Linked DNA regions of Callithrix jacchus. The protein of the gene in region 1 interacts with the protein of each later gene in a pairwise test. Links are inferred from orthologs where the notes say so. Each region holds a gene or a part of one and is shown in the gene's direction. Other genes may lie near its edges.

Region 1 (2,231 bases):
TCCTAGTCGCACATAAGCACTTTCTCCCACCTGTGGCCTCTCAGGCTCGGCCGCCGGAGGGAGTTTCTTTTATTCCCAGTTCGGCTTCTCTTGAGAAGGCCGAGCTATGAACCTGCCAGGGGCTTCCCAGAGTTCACTATCCCTGGTCCGCGTGGCCACCAATGACCCGCGGCGCCCCCGCCTGTCCCCACAGCCACTCCGCGGAAGCAGCGGCGGGAGCGCACCACCTTCACGCGTTCACAGCTGGACGTGCTCGAGGCGCTCTTCGCCAAGACTCGCTACCCTGACATCTTCATGCGGGAGGAGGTGGCCCTCAAGATCAACCTGCCGGAGTCCAGAGTCCAGGTCCGCACTCCCCAGGCTCCAGGGTCTGGGTAGGGGCGCTGTGGCTGCTCGGGGAAGGTCTCGGAAGGCTCCTGGGGAGTTCTGAAGGAGACCGGCCTGCAGGGGTGGGCTGACAGACTGGGCAGCCCCTCTCGGACTCCCCCTAGCGCTGGGCCCCAGCCAGGAAAGGGGGCAAAAGTTAAGGGAAATGGCTTAGAGCCCTAGATTCCGCCCTTAGCCCTAGGACGCCTTAGGTATTGGTATTGAAAGTCCTTTTTAGAATTGCAGGAGGACCAGGGAGGCTCCCGAAAGTAAAGCACCCTGCGGGCCTGACACTTGCCCCTGCTTCTTCGCCTGACCCAGGACTTGGCAGTTTCCCTCAGAGGCCTGAATTCTGCCTCTGCTCTTGGGTTGCACCCTGGGAATCCTAGAAATGAAAGAACGGAGACTGGCCAGAGCCTGGTGCTCTGCCTGGGTTTCATTAGACGCTTCCTCTGCTTACAAAGGACGCCAAGTGCAAAACCCTGCTACCGGCTTTCTTATTTCTGTTTTTGAGATGAAAGGGTTCTGATGATAATGCTCAGATTCTAACTCCGAACTCTCCTCAAGAGCCTTTTGTCTCGCCTCCTTTACTCGAAGGCTTGAGAAGGGGAACCAGGAATGCAGCGCCATGTGCTGGGACTCTCCCAGAAGAGGGACCATTCCATTTGGTTCCCCAGCTGGAGCCAAAGACCCAACGAAATCTCACCCAGGCTTCCTTCCCGAGTCCCTCAACTATTGCCTCTGTTTAGCCTCTAGCCTTGCTCCTACTCCCACCCAAATACTTGCCCTGCCCAGTTCTGGCCTCCAGGAGTTGCTCAGTAAAACGGCTCTGGCCCTAGACTTGGTAACTGTTCTACACTCTTCTGTTTTGTACCTCTCCGCTGTTGCCTGAGCTCTATTAGAAAACTGGGCCTCCAAACATACACGTAAGCAGCCAACAGCAGCAATTTAGAGATGGCAGAACTTCTGGCTGGACAGACTCAAATATTCTGCCCTAGGGCAGAGTTGCGGTAGGGGTGGGGAGGTGCACATCCCTACTTTGGAGCCAGCTGAGGAAGGGCTTTAAGCAGAAGGATGGAGGAGGGTGGAGGAGCTGGGAACCGAGGTGGGGGGCAGGGTCTGGCCACCCCTGAGGCAGGAAGGGGCGGAGGCCTCGGTGGAAAAGGGTTGCGAGATTCTGGGCGGGGAGTAGGGTACTAGGGGCGGGGGAGCAGCAAGCTCCCCTCGCCCCCCTTGACCCACTCTCTCCCATCCGGCCCACTGCAGGTCTGGTTCAAGAACCGCCGCGCCAAATGCCGCCAGCAGCAGCAGAGCGGGAGCGGAACCAAGAGCCGCCCAGCCAAGAAGAAGTCTTCTCCAGTGCGGGAGAGCTCGGGCTCCGAAAGTAGTGGCCAATTCACGCCGCCAGCTGTGTCCAGCTCTGCCTCGTCCTCTAGCTCGGCATCCAGCTCTTCTGCTAACCCAGCGGCTGCAGCGGCTGCGGGACTAGGCGGGAATCCGGCAGTGGCCGCCGCGTCGTCGCTGAGTACACCCGCAGCCTCATCAATCTGGAGCCCGGCCTCCATCTCACCAGGCTCAGCGCCCGCGTCCGTGTCAGTGCCGGAGCCCTTGGCCGCGCCTAGCAACGCCTCGTGTATGCAGCGCTCGGTAGCTGCAGGCGCCGCCACCGCAGCAGCCTCTTACCCCATGTCCTACGGCCAGGGCGGCAGCTACGGCCAAGGCTACCCTACGCCCTCCTCTTCCTACTTTGGCGGCGTGGACTGCAGCTCGTACCTAGCGCCCATGCACTCGCATCACCACCCGCACCAGCTCAGCCCCATGGCACCCTCCTCCATGGCTGGCCACCATCATCACCACCCACACGC
Region 2 (4,007 bases), on another chromosome or scaffold:
CCAGATGAGGGCCTCACACCCTATTGTATAGATTGGAAAACTAAGTGGGCAGTCCCCTTGGACAGGGGGCAGGGCAAGATCCTGAGCACTGCCCCTCCTCCACCAGCTGAGGGACTATGGGGAGGAGGAGCACCAGCAATGAGCTGGGTTGGGAGGAGCCATTTGCAGCCCTCCAGTGTGGCGACTAGAAGCAAGTCTCCTTGGACGTGCAGGGGAGGAAACTGAGGCACAGACATAATTTATCCAGTTGTTTTTCTTGGTGGGGGACAGAGTCTGGCTCTGTTGCACAGGCTGGAGTGCAGTGATCTCAGCTCACTGCAACTTCCACTGCCCCATTCAAGTGATTCTCTGCCTCAGCCTCCGGAGTAGCTGGGATTATAAATGGGCCACCACACCCGGCTAATTTTTGTATTTTTAGTAGAGACGGGGTTTCACCATGTTGGCCAGGCTGGTCTCCAACTCCTGACCTCAGGTGATCCATCCACCTCAGCCTCCCAAAATGCTGGGATTACAGGCATGAGCCATGGAGCTCAGCAATTTACCCAGTTTTGAAGCACATCAAGAGGGAGTGGAAGGCCAGTCAGTCTGACCCATAGTGGGTGGGCCTATTCTTTCAGATACTGTTTCCCCACGTGTGAGCTGAGGGCGTGGCCAGGGAGCCCGATTTGTTTGGAGCTGGAACCCAGGCTTGGCAAACAGCAAGCACTAGACCAATCATCAATCAATGAATGAGCTGAATGCTACAGCGGAGCCTGTAATCCCAGTTCATGGAGGATCGCTTGAGGCCAGGAGTTCCAGACCAGCCAGCACGACATAGACCCAGTCTCTAACTCTAAAAATAAAAATTTAAAAAAATTAGCAGGGCATGGTGGTGCAGCCTGTAGTCCCAGCTACTTGAGAGAGGCAAGAGGATGTGATATAGCCACACCCTATCTCAAAAAAAAAAAAAAAGTGAATGAAAGTGGGGAGGCACCCCCTGACTCCCTGCCCCACCAGTTCTCTCCCCACAGATCCAGGGACTCAGTTTCCCCACCATGTCAGATTCAGCCGCGGGTGACTACACAGGGCATTCTGGGCGGGGCCTTGAATGCAGGGCCAGCGCCATCTGTTTACCTTGAGGCTGGACGCTGGGCAGGGCTGCGGTGGGCCGTCCCTGGGGCCGGCCGTGCCTTGGGGATAAATAGGCCCCGTGGGCCTCGTGGGCGGTAGACAACGCCCCGCCACCGCCATGGTCCCCGCCACAGCCTGCGTTCTTCTGTTCACCATGGCTGCCCTCGGCGTGTCTGGCCAGGGCCAGATCCCTTCGGGTAAGCCGCGTTAGCACCCGCGCCGTGGCCACCGCCCCAAATGGACTGCAGGACCCGTGAGAGGCCCGGGGTCCAGGCTGTTTGGGGGCTCACGGACTGTTCACAGGGGACGTGCGGGGCACAGAAAGCAGGTGGCGGGACCGAGGCTGGACGAGCGGAGTGGGGCGTCGGGTCCAGTGTCCGGGTCCGCTGCGGCGGTGGGAGTTGGTGGTGGGGTTCCCCTGCCCCATGACGCCTCACAGGTCCCCTGTCGCCGCAGGCTCAGACTTGGGCCCGCAGATGCTGCGGGAACTACGGGAAACAAACGCGGCGCTGCAGGACGTGCGAGAGCTGCTGCGGCAGCAGGTGCGGGGCCGGGTGCGGGGCAGGGAGTGCGGGGGAGCGGAAGGGGGTCTCGGTTCCCATCCAGGGGAGAGGAAGTCCCTGGAGGGCAGAGGGGAGCTGGGGAGGGAAGGGGGTCTGTGGGTAGGGAGTCCCCGGTGAAAAGAGGCGGTGGAAAGAGAATCCGGGGCAGAGAGAGGGGAGACCCGAGGGACCAGGAGAGGTTGGGACCCCACTGATTCCACCCCACCCCTGCAGGTCAGGGAGATCACGTTCCTGAAAAACACGGTGATGGAGTGTGACGCATGCGGTGAGCGGGCCGGGAGAAGAGATGGGGAGACAGAGACACAGAGAGACAGAGAGCGAGGGAAAGCTGGGGACAAAAAGAGACGGAAGGAGATCGAGGCTGACAGAGGTGGAGGGAGACGAACGGGAATGAGGGGGAAGGAACAGAGACAAAAAGAGACAGAGGCGGTGCGAGAGTTTTGGGGAAGTGAGAGACGCCGCGGGGCAGGAAAGAGCAACAGAGACTCAAAGAGAGACCAGGGAAAGAGTGCAAGCAGAGCGCCCAGCCCCGCCGGGGAGGGATCGCTGAGAGCTCCGAATTTCGGACCGCCCTCGGGGCGGGGGCTAGGGGTAGGGGGAGAACTTCCAGCCCCCGGGCGTGGCTACGACCAGCCCCACCACGTTCCCCCTGCAGGGATGCAGCAGTCCGTGCTCACCGGCCCCCCGAGCGTGCGGCCCCTGCTCAGCTGCGCTCCTGGCTTCTGCTTCCCCGGCGTGGCCTGCATCCAGACCGAGAGCGGCGCGCGCTGCGGCCCCTGCCCCGCGGGCTTCACCGGCAATGGCTCGCACTGCACCGACATCAACGAGGTGCGCCGGCCCCGACACCCCACCGCGCTGACGACCCCCTCTACCGCCCCCCAATCTCTCGCTGTCCCGGAGACCCCTTGCTCCACTTGGGGTGCTCGCCCCGACAACCCTCTCACCTCCGGGGGCACACGGCCGGGCGATCTCCCTACCGCTGGGGGACGCCCACCCGGAGGACGATCCACGCCACCACCCAGGACGCCCGCCCCCACGACCCTCTCCATAGCTAGTGACGCCCGCCCCGACGACTCCCACACCGCCAGGGGTGGTCGGCCCTAGCTACCCTACTCGCCGCAGGGAGTCGCCAGTCCCAACGACCCTTCCATAGCCGGGGAACGCACGCCCGGACGACACCGCCACCGCAGGGCCCGCACGCCCAGATGATCCCTGCCCCCCTGTGCTGGGGATGCGCACCCTCATCCTTCCTCCCCTCGCCCATGAGGGAACAGCCCCTGGAGGCGCCCTCTCTTCTCCTCTCCCGGTTGCACCCTTGCCATCAAGACAAAGTCGCATCTGACCCCTGCGACAATTGCTTCCATCTCGCGTGGAGCACAGCTCCAAGCGCTGGCTGATGACTCTTGAACTTTCCAAATCCGAAACACTCCGAGGTGTGGCCCCCAGGGCCCAGCTCGAAGCTCTCTGACCCTCCGTGGCCCCTCCTCCCCCAGTGCAGCGCCCACCCCTGCTTCCCCCGCGTCCGCTGTATCAACACCAGCCCGGGATTCCGCTGCGAGGCTTGCCCGCCGGGGTACAGCGGCCCCACCCACGAGGGCGTGGGGCTGGCTTTCGCCAAGACCAACAAGCAGGTGAGGGGTGTGGGGGCCCCATTTCTGCAGCAGAAGGGAAGGGGGCGTCCATTTTGTTTACTAGTAAACGCCTCCTCCAGCCTCACGCACTTTTTCCAGCTTTCTACCAGCGGGCGGGACGGAGAGAGGAGGGTCCGCTGCGCCAGGGCTTATCGGTTGAGGGCAGGATGGAGGGGAGAAGGCAGGATGTGGAGGAAGCGTGGACCAGGTGGGAGGTCCGAGGTATCTGCGTGGGGTGGTGGCCTCTGAGATTCCCCTCCCCTAGGTTTGCACGGACATCAACGAGTGTGAGACCGGGCAACACAACTGCGTCCCCAACTCCGTGTGCATCAACACCCGGGTAAGTCCCGCCGGGGAGGAAGGACAGATCGCGGGAGGTGGGGCGAGGGGCCGGCGGCCTGCGCTGACCTCCAGCGGCTCGGGCGCAGGGCTCCTTCCAGTGCGGCCCGTGCCAGCCCGGCTTCGTGGGCGACCAGGCGTCCGGCTGCCAGAGGCGCGCGCAGCGCTTCTGCCCCGACGGCTCTCCCAGCGAGTGCCACGAGCATGCGGACTGCGTCCTGGAGCGCGATGGCTCGCGGTCGTGCGTGGTGAGTGCGGGCTGGCCGGGCGCGAGGCGGGCTTGGGGGGCGGCCACGCCGGGGCACCCACTTACTGTCTCTCGCAGTGTGCCGTCGGCTGGGCAGGCAACGGGATCCTCTGTGGC
Region 3 (3,962 bases), on another chromosome or scaffold:
CCTTCAGTTACCGATAGGAGGTTGGCATTTCTCACTGTCTTCATTGACCTCCTTTGGACTTTCTCCATGTTAGCATTGACCCATCTATAAAGCCAATTACTGTGACATAAACACTGCCTCACTTGGAGAATAGTGTGACCAGTGCTGGGCTCAGTAGAATTATCCTTTCTTCTCCCATGGTGTATCCTCACTGTCCAGGACTCTCTTCTCAGAAATCCACTCCTGCTCCTGGACTGTTTGTATGCTTAATGAAACCAAGTACCCAAAGTGACCCTTCAGCCCTTACTAGGCAGATAAGTAGACTCCATTAAACCTTTTCCTTCCAGCCTCCCCTCCTTCCTTTTTTCTCTCCCCCTTTCTTCTTTCCTTCTTCTCGTCCTATCCTTTCTCCTTCCTGCTTCCTTTTCTTTCTCCCTTTCTTCCAAGGTCTTTTCTGTGGGAGGAGCTGGTAAGAAAAGGAATTCCCTAAGGTTTTAAGGAAAGAAACAGGTTACTGCATCTTCTAATATGGAATCCAGGTAGTTTATCAGCTTTTTCATAGCATGACTATGGTGAGATTTCTTGTAAGGCAAAAAAATACCAGCATCACTGGACTCATATATTGGATTATACTTAAGGGGATTAAGGGACAAGATGTTTGAAATTGGAGGCGTCTTGGAAAATCCTACAGTGGACACAAATGTTCGCAATGTCTCTGCTGCGCTCCTCCAACTGGGAAAAAAGAGACTCTGGTACTCATCATAGACTGAAAACCTGAGGAAAAGCGAGATGCGATTATCAGATAAACTGGCAATGACACGCACAAAAATGTGTCGATTCCAGCCAGGGCTTTTCTTTTCAATTGTTTGTTTGGGTTAGAGATGACTTTGGGGAACTGCATGTCCCAGTGGACACTCTGAGCTGCGTTGTCTGAGTCGTGGGGTTGCAGCCTCTAGTCAGTAGAGCCGCCGCCCCCCGGGTCCGCGACTCCGGAGCCGGCGAGCGGGGCCGCGCTGGCGGGAGCGCGCGCCCCATGCACCGTCGGCGGGTGGTAGCGGAGGAAAGACGGAGGCCTGGGAGCGCGCGAGGCTTCATGTGCGCGCGCGCGCCCGCCCGCCCGAGCGCCCACTCGCCCACGCGCCCACGCACGCGCCCGCCCGTCCGCACGCCCGGGAAGTCTCGCGATGCCGTAGCCGGCTGCTCCCGCTGCGGGTGGCTCTGGCTGTTGCTGTGGTTGCCTGAGTTGCTGCTGCTGCGGCGGCGGCGGCAGCGGCGGCTGTGCTGGTGGATGTGTCGGCCCCTGGGCGGATGTTGACATTGTGTTGTTGTTATTGCTGATAGTAATGGCGGCGGCGGTAGCGGCGATGGTCCAGACGCCGTCTCCTCTGTAGCCGGAGCCAAGACATCAGAAAGGGAACTCCGCGGCCTCGGAGCCGGCGGCAGCGGCGACTCCCCTCAGCCTCCGCCGCCTCGCCCGCCCGTACCCCGGCGCCAACCCCGGGAGTCAGGCCCCTTTGGGCAAGGGCGCTCGGAGGCTCAGGATGGCGGATTTCGACGAGATCTATGAGGAAGAGGAGGACGAGGAGCGGGCCCTGGAGGAGCAGCTGCTCAAGTACTCGCCGGACCCGGTGGTGGTCCGCGGCTCCGGTCACGTCACCGTGTAAGGCCCGGAGAAGGGCGAGGGCGGGAGGTGCGGGGCTGGGGTGGGCCCCGTTACTCCATGGGAGTCCCCTTTCGTCGGTGTCCGTCTGGTGTCGGTGGCCTTCGGAAAGAGTAGGCGACCAGGAAGTAAGAACTTGCCTTATTTTCATTTGTTTGGGTCTCCGAAGTGGGGACGGACGCTGTCCTTTCTCCTCCACACACCCCTTTAGCAGGCCGTACAGGCCCGGCGATGTGATGATCCCAGTAGGCATGGGTTTTCATTAGGGTCTGCCCTGCAGGCCACCCTTCAGCTAGCTTCAGGGTGGAAGTACGGGTATTGACAGGGAGCCTCCTTGTTTTCTCGCCCAGTTTTCCTGTGGTTCTCTGTGCCTTTGCACCCGGTGACATGGCTCACAGGCCAGATCTGGGCCGTGTGAGACCCCAGTGACAATTGGCAACGAGGCTCCTGTCGTGTCTATTTCACACATACTCACAGGTCTTCCAGTTCTTCTTCCACAGAGTTAATTTCCGCAGAACTAACGCAAGTTCTTGTAATTGTACGTGATAAAAATATATAGTTGAATACAAATTTAAGATATGCAGAAAGAAGTATGTTTTCGACAAATTAAAAAAAAAATCTACGTGAGGGACATACACTCTGCTCAGGTTACTGAGGGAAAATTGTAGTCCCAAAGTTCCTCCTTGGGGCATGAACTTGGAGCTTCTTAATGTGTTAAGAGTCCCTGTAAGTCCCACTAGTAACATTAAAAGTCTAGTATTAAACCATAAGGAAGGAGAGCTTTCGGAAAGGCCGTGACAAATAAAGGAATGTGAAGACTTGAACCAAATAATGAGCTGTCCGGAAGTAGGAAGTTTTGTAATGTTTCTCTGTGAAGTCCACAGTTTTGTACCACCTGATATATTGATACTCTCTCATTTTAGATCTCTTGTTCAAGTCATAGATCAAACTTCCATACTTGTCAGATATCTCTGTACTTCTTCCCCTTTTCAGTAAAACAAAAGGGCCAGCAAGTTGCAGAATGTCTGGAACAGTCTTCTTTATATTTTGGCGAACAGTGAGTGGGATGTGCTGTGAATAACTTAGGGAAACAGTAAGACTTCTCATATAAGTTTGTCAGCAAAATAATTGCATTTCTTACATGATATGACCAGTCATATTGTCGTTTGGGTATACTTATGTAATGCTTTGATTTCTTTGGCACCTGTTAGTTTATATTCAGGTGACTTAACAGGGCACTGCATAATTGCTGTCATAGCACCATGACAGGACAGTGGAATTTATCACCACCATGACTCTTTCTAAGTGTTCTATCATTACCAGCTTGAGAAATATAACCAAATATCATGAATATTAAACTTTTAACATATATCACAGAACTCATAACCTACCATTTGCTTTTATTTTGACTTTTAGGATGTTTTTGCATTGTTTTAAGCCTAAGGAGTATGTAGATGCTTAAAGAAATTATTTCCAAACTTTGTCATGCCATCTTTCCTTCCCACTACATTCCTCATGTCAAAGAAAAGCTAGCAGAATTTTGTCGTTTAAAAAGGCGGTACTGTAGTTGTATTGTTTCCTCTGTTAAGGAGAAGAAAAGCACTTTGTTGGGTAAGTGGAAAATGTAATAGTGGGCAAAGTACTCAGAACCAAATAGGTAATCAGTAAACTTGACTGTAGTTGGCTACTTGGAGAGGCTGATAGGATAGAAAAGAATTATTAGTGGTTTTCAAATTTAGCTGTTCCTTAGAATCCTGAGTGGCTTTAAAAAAGACCCTTGCCTTTGCTCCACCCCAGGCCTGTTGAAGGCCAAGCACTAAATGAGGGTCCTAGACATGGATAATTAAAATAATAAGTAAATAAATAATAGAATCTCACAGGTAAGTCTAATGTGTAGCCAAAGTTGAAAACTATTCCAGGTTATAGGGAGGGATTATCTGCTGTCAGTAAACAGTATGCCTTTCTACCTTGGGAGTTAAATCTCTGATCTTCTCAACAACTTCCTTCTCCTCCCATTTATCTTGGTTCTAGGTCATGGGTTAAAATCTATCTCAGCCACTTCCTGGGTAAATTATTTATTTATGGCCTTTAGTTGAGACGGGGATAGTTAGAGTCCATACCTTTTAAGATTATTAAGGATTAAATGAGATAGTAGTACATGAAAAAAATTTATTGCAGTGTGTGGTACTATGTTCACTAGATACTAGCTTTTATTATTATCCTCCTCAGGTACAGTTTTCCACTTTGAGAAACAGGTATAAAACAGTACTAAGAAATTAGAACTGCCATTGTCAAACATAACAGTGATTGACTTTAGTTTTAC

What was found.
Region 2: the proteins of OTX1 (region 1) and COMP interact in binary tests that used the Homo sapiens proteins (3 or more experiments, as listed by UniProt). The two-hybrid records come from large-scale screens. The link is inferred for Callithrix jacchus from reciprocal best matches to the Homo sapiens genes OTX1 and COMP.
Region 3: the proteins of OTX1 (region 1) and CHIC2 interact in binary tests that used the Homo sapiens proteins (3 or more experiments, as listed by UniProt). The two-hybrid records come from large-scale screens. The link is inferred for Callithrix jacchus from reciprocal best matches to the Homo sapiens genes OTX1 and CHIC2.

The regions. Positions count from the first base shown.
Region 1 is NC_133515.1:51,063,952-51,066,182, reverse strand, and holds part of OTX1 (homeobox protein OTX1), read left to right. Parts: intron 1-193; coding exon 194-345; intron 346-1,632; coding exon 1,633-2,231. UniProt on the Homo sapiens protein: Probably plays a role in the development of the brain and the sense organs. Can bind to the BCD target sequence (BTS): 5'-TCTAATCCC-3'.
Region 2 is NC_133523.1:17,495,903-17,499,909, reverse strand, and holds the start of COMP (cartilage oligomeric matrix protein), read left to right. Parts: upstream 1-1,207; 5' UTR 1,208-1,228; coding exon 1,229-1,307; intron 1,308-1,566; coding exon 1,567-1,652; intron 1,653-1,886; coding exon 1,887-1,938; intron 1,939-2,328; coding exon 2,329-2,501; intron 2,502-3,166; coding exon 3,167-3,304; intron 3,305-3,569; coding exon 3,570-3,644; intron 3,645-3,732; coding exon 3,733-3,891; intron 3,892-3,968; coding exon 3,969-4,007. UniProt on the Homo sapiens protein: Plays a role in the structural integrity of cartilage via its interaction with other extracellular matrix proteins such as the collagens and fibronectin.
Region 3 is NC_133504.1:142,680,000-142,683,961, forward strand, and holds the start of CHIC2 (cysteine-rich hydrophobic domain-containing protein 2), read left to right. Parts: upstream 1-1,162; 5' UTR 1,163-1,520; coding exon 1,521-1,639; intron 1,640-3,962.